Linked DNA regions of Rattus norvegicus. The protein of the gene in region 2 purifies or fractionates together with the protein of the main gene of each other region. This does not show direct contact. Links are inferred from orthologs where the notes say so. Each region holds a gene or a part of one and is shown on either strand. Other genes may lie near its edges.

Region 1 (3,815 bases), about 120 Mb from region 2:
AGATAAGGTCAGGCAGGCTCACATTGCTCCTGTGGCTACCTGGGTGGGTCAGAAGCCACATCCTGTCTGAACAGAAAAATGCCTCTAGCAGAAAGCTGGACCAATGGGAGGGGATGGTGAACTGATCCCAGCCTCTGTGGGAGGGGCGTGGGGGAAGAGAGGACTCCGGTTTTACTGAATTCAGGTACTGAGCTGTGGAGGGGTTTCAGAGGTAAATGGCTAAGGGCCGCTCCACCGCGTTTGTGAATCGCAGCTCCTCCAGCGCCCGATCTGGAAGGTCACCCTCTGCCTTTGTCAAGAAACCACAATGTCTCAAGACCCAGTCCCTGCTCCTAAACCCCTTCTTTTTGAGGAGCTGTGCAGAATTCTGTGCGCTGGCCTCGGGCACCACTGTTCACACACTCCTTTTGAGGCCAGCCACAATGGGATACGGAAGGGCGGGTTCACAGGCAAGCCATGGCTCTCCCGCCTTGGCTCCTCCTCCTAGAACGAATGGGCCCACTGCCATGGTGCCATCTGGGACCCAGCCACTGGGCTCGGCTTTTCCGCTTCTGTAGATGGGGACTGTAAGAAGCAGAGGCAGCCACGTAGGACCACTCAGTCCCGGAGGGTGAGCGGGTAGAGCCGAGAAAGCGTGGCCTTCTGGATCCGGCGGAAGAGCTGGGTCAGCTGGTAGAGGAAGGGCAGTGAAGAAGGAGCTGCTGTGGGAAAGGAGAGACTATCGTGAGTGTTCTTCCCTCAGCCCCTCCGAGGCAGCTAGAAAACACAGCCAGGCTTCCTGCTATTCGCAGCCTCCTCGGCAACAAGAAATTTCACTTTCTCTGAAAATTTTTTTTCCAGTTGAATTACAATAACTTTAAATATTCTAGAAAAAAATCCAGATTTATTACATCTTAATCATTCTGGCATTTACACAACCGCTGGTGACTCTCAGAAGCCTACACCGAGCTTCTGGTGTCGGGCGTGTCTCAGGTGTGTCTTGCTTTCTTCCAAATGCCTCTTTCCTAACTTTCCATGCTTAGGCCTCTGTTAAAATTTTTCTTCGGGGCTGGAGCGATGGCTCCGTAGTTAAGAGCACTTGCTGCTATTGCAAAGACCTGGGTGCAGTTCCTAGCACCCACATTAGAGGCTCACGACCAGTTCCAGGGTATCTGACACTTCTGGCTTCCAAGAAAACCAGGCATGCATGTGGTACCCATCCACATATGCAGCCTCATACATATTTTTTAAGTCTAAAAAATGTCTGTTAAGCCCCAACTCCACTTCCTGAAAGAAATAATTAACAACCATGGGAGCAACGTCTACCACTAGGGAGAGCCATTTGGAAAAATTTCACTGCACTTTTTGCCTTTCTGTGCCTTTCAGTTTGAAGCCTTAGGACAGTTTGACGTATTTTACCACGAATTAACGACATTGAAAATTTAAAAAAAAAAATCAAAAAACAAAAAACAAAAAACTACCATTTGTTTCGTTTCCTTGTTTGGATTACAGACTTAAAAAATACATATTTCTACTTTTAGTTTGATTTGGGGAGGTTGGCCAGGTTGGGCAAGGATGACAGAGTTGGGCCTTCTGCTTTCGCCTCTTAATGCTGGGACTCCAGGTGGGAGCCACCACACCAAGTTCTTTGTGGTGCTGGGAACTGAACCCAGGCCTTAGTACATACCAGGCAAGTGTGGTATCTGAGCTCATCCCTGGCCTCCAAAATAAGGAATACATATTTCTCTCTTAAACACCCTAGCACCTTAGAGAGCTAGGACAGGGGCTTCAGCTGGCACTGGAGGCCAGCCTGGGCAAGGCTATGAGACACACACAGACCTGCTCCTCTAAGTGGGGGGAGCAGTGTTTAGGGCTAAGGAGATGGCTCGGTAAAGTACTTGCCAAAAAGTGTGAAGACCTAAGTTCGAATCCTAAATACTCACTTGAAAGCCAGGCATGGGGTAGCACATACCTGCAACCCCAAGGCAAGTGAAGAGACTCAAAAACTACAGCAGAAGGGCTGGGACTGCAGCTCAGTGACAGAATAGTCACTCCTCAGGGCTGAGGGCCTCAACTTAATCCCTGGCCACTGTCATCCTTATCATCACCATGTGGAGTAGCCAACAGTGCACACACGCGCGCACATGCATACACACACATGCACAAACGCATACAAACACATATAGACATGCGCACACGCATGCTTGCATAGTGGGAGCAGTGGGAAGAAAGGTGTTTATTCCTCTAAGGCTGGAGATGCAACCCAGTCCTTCCTACATGTATGTATGCCACATGCATGCCCAGCCCTCCATACCTGTTATTTTTCTTTAAAGTAACTGACCTTCTCCCCAAATTCTATTTGCAGCGCCACCCACCCCCCATGTGGGTCCTCCTCTCCTGAGGAGAGCTGCTCAGTACACACCCAAGTTTGAATGGTTTTCTTGGTCACCATTTAGGAGATCAGGGTTTAGGGGAAGTCATAAGGAACTTCTACTAAATTCTTATCAACTATGCAAAGTAGAGAGTCAAGGACAGATGGGAAATCACAGGAACTGAACTTCCCCTTTTCAAACGTGTTTTTCCAGCACTGAGAATGTGCTTCCCACGGTAGGGGTGTCTCTGCTCACCCCTCATTTCTGTCCTGTTTCTGGAAGCTGCTGGTGGCTTTCTTGTATAACCAACAGAGCTGTCCAGAGAGGACATTCCTGCTCAGAGTCCAACAAGTGAGAGGGGAGGTGAGGAAAACAGGGACCTAAAGTCAAAGGTTTAAAACCAGGCGAACTGTGTGGCTCTGGTCTAGTCACTCTGGTTATTAGATTTCTCAACCAACAATGAAAGAAAATTAAAGGCTTCTCATTTCTCCTTGGTTTTGAAAGTTGCACAATCCTATCTACATCTAAATTCTTGAGAAAGTACAGACTGCTTCACAACCCACAGAGAGTGACTCGGAAAGTCTGGCTTGGTGGTGCACGCCTGCAACCCCAGCATCTGGGAGGCAGAGACAGAAGGTTCGACACCATTCTGCACTATACAGTAAGACTTGTCTTTTGTTTTTGTGTTTCTCGAACGGCAGTCAGTCACCTAACTGTGGCCCAGAGTCCCATATCTGAGTGTCCACTACACAGGTGTTTTCCCGAGTCTCACCTCTACTCCACAGTGAGGCAGAAGAGATTAATCACCCAAAGGACTGACACATATCAATCAGGGGAAAAGTCTATAAACCAGAATATCATTTAGCTGTTTCACATTTTTTCCCCCACATCGTCTAAAATATGTCAGACTTTCACTTACGATTTCAGGGTCATTACACGAGCCAGGAGACCTTAACTAATTTAGGTTTTACTATGAGAAAGCTTCTTAGCATTGCATTCTGATCAGAAGTCACCCCTGGATGGAGCAGGGCCCAGGTGAGTCCATCGGCATGCAGAGCAGCAGGGAAATGTTCTCCAACTGCTCTCCTAGGATCTGGGCCTGGTCTCCCCCCCAGGTGAGGTAGACTCTAGTTCTTTGTGGGACAGGCTCAATATCACAGGAGGTGGCGCCCTCCCAGGCTCTCACAGACCCTGCCGCCACACCCCTTCACTCACCTGGATCAAACCGTAGAACCAAGAGACAGAGGATCAAGGCAGCCAGGAGGCCCTTTCTAAAGGGCTGGGAGAGAAGGTGGCTCACCGCAGAGCCACAAAGGCGGCGAAGCAGCATCAGCAGTGACAGCAACTTACGGGGAAATGAACCTGGCCAGGGGACAGAGCGTCATCACAGGGTGAGTCAGGCAAATCAGATCTGAAGAGTCAATCCAAACCAAATGAGAATGACTTCCTTGCACAACTCATTAA
Region 2 (3,815 bases):
TAAAGTTAATGAATTGATGAACATAATATAAGTAAAAGACCGGCACGATCTTTTACTCCCGGAAAGAGGGAGGGAGGGAGGGAGGGAGGGAGGGAGGGAGAGGAGGGAGGGAGAGGAGGGAGGTGTATAAAATGGAGCCAGGGAGATGGCTTCGTGGGTAAAGGCCCTTGCTATCAAGCCTGACAGACAACCTGAATCCAATCACTGGAGCTCTGGTATAAAAAAGAAAGACTGGATTCCTGCAAGTTCTCTTCCGACCTCCAAGCATGATTTCTGACCTCCTCCTGGCCCCAGTACTCCCCGGCCCCCATTCCACCACATACACATACACACATAATAAATAATCAAACTATGACAAGAACTAAAATGAAGTTCTAAAGTAAGGAGGAAACCCAATACTCAAAAGGAAAAATAATTTCACAAAAAATTGACTGGAAAATTAACAACTAGAATACAAAGTTGAGTTGGAGGCATGTTAGAGATGAGACAGTGACTTAACAAAATATAGCTAGCTTGAGTGTCTTGTCCTGGTTATGAAAGCATACAAATGACCTCACCTTCAAAATGCCTGAACCTTAGGATGTGACATTAAAAAAAAGTGACTGCGGCCACTTGTACTTACCTGATCCCCGCTCGAGAGTCCAAGCTTCTGGCCAACTTGTCTATTAATTTCTGCCACATTTTCACTTTGATCATTAAAATGCCTGCCTTCCACCCAGCTCAAGTAGGTAGGCTGGTGATCCCCGGTTACTTCTATAGCTTGATTCTATTTATCCAAACAATGGGAGAGAAAGGGAGTTTATAACTTTTATGGTTTTTTCCCTCTGGATTCAGATAAGCACCTGTTATAATACACAAAACAAAAACAGTGCTAGAGGTAATCGTTCTTTATTCACATTCTAATTTAAAAAACAGGAATTGTTTTAAACATCCAGTAGTTGAGAAGCTAGCCACAAAACCAACATGCTCACAGTCTTACGACAGCCTTATGGATTGATTCAAGTGATTCGTAATTCAAAATGCCATGGGTACTTGGATGAATTTACACAGGCTTTCAGTATGCTTATGAGAAGAAAAAAAATTACACACATTCAGGAAAATGCTTCTAGTTTTAATAAAGTATAAATTCATTAGCCTTCAATTAAAATTTAAAAGTATAAAACAACACAGTTCAGACTTTTGAAACTCCAATCTGCTGGGGTATCTCATCTCTTACTGATCAATAGATTTATTTAAAAAGTAATAAATACACATAGTAAAAGTACAAAATTTTAAAAAGGAAATGTAAAGGTGGGCCCATGTTCCTAGAAGAAATTACTGTTAACAACTTCCTGAAATATTATAATATGCAGTTTCTTTTTTTTTTTTAGAATGAAGGTCAGCCTGAGAGAACAACTTTTGACTTTTTTTTTATTGGCTCTTTTTTTTTTTTTTTTTTGGTTCTTTTTTTCGGAGCTGGGGACCGAACCCAGGGCCTTGAGCTTCCTAGGCAAGCGCTCTACCACTGAGCTAAATCCCCAACCCCCTAATATGCAGTTTCTTAATGCTTTTTAAAGTTCATAAAACTGGCTGGGCCTGGTGGCACATGCCTTTAATCCCAGCACTTAGGCAATAGAAGCAGGCTAGTGTCTAAGAGTTCAGTGCCAGCCTAGTCTGCAGAGTGAGCTCCATGCCAGTCAAGGCTACACCGTGAGACCCTGTCTCAAAAACAAAACAAATGAATAAGCAGATAAAGGTCGTAAAACTTTAGAAACATAGTTTAATCAGGGGTCAGGGACATGGCGCTGTGATTAAGAGCAGTCAGTATAGAGAGCCAGCTCTGGTGTCCTCTGGCCTCCACAAGTACCATCACAGACACATAATTAAAAATAAATCCTGGGGTTGGGGATTTAGCTCAGTGGTAAAGCACTTGCCTAGGAAGTGCAAGGCCCTGGGTTCGGTCCCCAGCTCCGAAAAAAAGAACCAATAAATAAATAAATAAATAAATAAATAAATAAATAAATAAATCCTTAAAATTAAAAAACATTACAAAAACATAATATGTCCATTTGTGCTGAGAGTTAGATGACCAAAGTCCTCTACAGTTAAAGAACTGTACTGGCAGGGATGGTTTTTCATGTCTGTGATCCTAGCACTTGGGAGGCTGAGGCAGGAGAATTGTGATTTAAGGTTAAGTTTGGATTACATAGTGATATCCTGTCTCGAAAAAACAAAACCAAAACAATTATACTCACAGGAATCTTGGGGAATATGTGCACTTGGAGGGAAACACAATCATATGAACAGTTTGTATACTTCTTGCCAACCCTTTCCAGTCAGTGAATCGTGTATTTATGTTATGGATGAGCTGTAATATGTTTTACCCGTTTACTATGACACTACAAGCATTTTACACATCTACCGTTTCTTAGTAAAACACAGCAAGCACCTTGATAAACAGTCCTGAAGACTTCTTGTCTCGGGAAGCTTAAGTGTTATTAAATTCATTTCAAAATAAATTCATTAACCTCAAAACAGTGAAGCCAAACTCTCTCATTTATATCGAACTTCAGCACTCTACGTTTGTTTAAACAGAACAAATTACAAAGAATACAGAAGTCTTAGGCAACATGGTTCTCAAACACACTCATTAGTAAACTTCTGTACATAAGAAAATCACTGTTAGCCTTTAATCCCAGCACAGGCGGGCAGATTCCTGAGTTCAAGGCCAGCCTGGTCTACCTGGTAAATGCCAGCCAGGACAGCCCAGGCTACACAGAGAAGGCTTGTCTTGAAAGAACAAAAAACAAAAGTCACGGTTTGTCCTTTAGCTGCATAATTTTTCTCACAATTTCCAAGCAATGACGCAATTGTTTTTGCTGGCAAAGCTTTTTCAACTAAGCACCGTTTAATAAAGTAAAAGCAAGTAGAAGTCCCGGGTCACTGTCTAGGTTACAAGGGCAAATGTAACAGAGCCTCAGGCACTTTTAAGGTGGTTTCATAAGTTGCTGATATTACAACTCAGTGCCCCCTATTTTGTAAGAAAGCTTTAAAACCAGAGACATTAAAGAAAGAAATATAACGGACATCCTGAAATGTCTAAAATATCTATCTACTAGCCCACTAGGAAAAACAAAAGAAAAAAAATCAACTTTATCAGACAAGAAAAACATTTCAGTCATTTGCGTTTGGTCAAAATGTAGTCATGAGCAGCACTCAGTGAGGTTTGGCAAACTAATGTTCTAAGCTGATTTGTACATTGGATTTCATTAGAACCACAGAAGCCTTCAGTCAGACAGAAGTAATAGAACAGAGCCCCCTTCAGGAATGTAATCAAGAAGTGCACTGTTGGTTTACTTTGGCCTATACTGTGGCCATCATCTCGAAAGAAACAATCAGGTGAATCTATACATGCACATGCCTCAGGAGTGCCTCAGTCAAAGGCCTGGACTGTCTCTTACTAACAGGAGAAAACAAACAAGAAGTCTGTACAAGGAAATTTCTGGGTGAGGTGTAGATTCCCCCTACCCCAGTGTCCAGAGGAATCCTTTCTCTGTTGCAATCACAGCAAATGCTGAGCTTAAAATATACAGAGAGTGGTTGAATAGATCAACCACTTACAGATCAGGCATGGTGGCTCATACCGTTAATCCCGATGCTCAGGAGGCAGAAGCGAATGGACTTCTGTGAGTTTAAAACCAGCCTGACAGAGAGTTCCAAGCCAGCCAGGGCTACACAGTGAGCCCCTGTAATAATAGAAAACCCAGCAAGAGGTAAGGGTTGACCAGTATGATCGAGAACTTCTAAGTTAAATATCTACTTGGTACCTAATCCTT

The links.
Region 1: the proteins of Pex1 (region 2) and Pex26 purify together in Homo sapiens (affinity purification with western blotting; 3 studies listed by BioGRID and IntAct, with this or other methods). This does not show direct contact. The link is inferred for Rattus norvegicus from reciprocal best matches to the Homo sapiens genes PEX1 and PEX26.

What each region holds. Positions count from the first base shown.
Region 1 is NC_086022.1:156,093,411-156,097,225, reverse strand, and holds part of Pex26 (peroxisome assembly protein 26), read right to left. Parts: intron 3,714-3,815; coding exon 3,567-3,713; intron 702-3,566; coding exon 598-701; 3' UTR 1-597. UniProt on the Homo sapiens protein: Peroxisomal docking factor that anchors PEX1 and PEX6 to peroxisome membranes. PEX26 is therefore required for the formation of the PEX1-PEX6 AAA ATPase complex, a complex that mediates the extraction of the PEX5 receptor from peroxisomal membrane.
Region 2 is NC_086022.1:31,507,107-31,510,921, forward strand, and holds part of Pex1 (peroxisomal ATPase PEX1), read right to left. Parts: intron 843-3,815; exon of another isoform or gene 767-842; coding exon 623-766; intron 1-622. UniProt on the Homo sapiens protein: Component of the PEX1-PEX6 AAA ATPase complex, a protein dislocase complex that mediates the ATP-dependent extraction of the PEX5 receptor from peroxisomal membranes, an essential step for PEX5 recycling.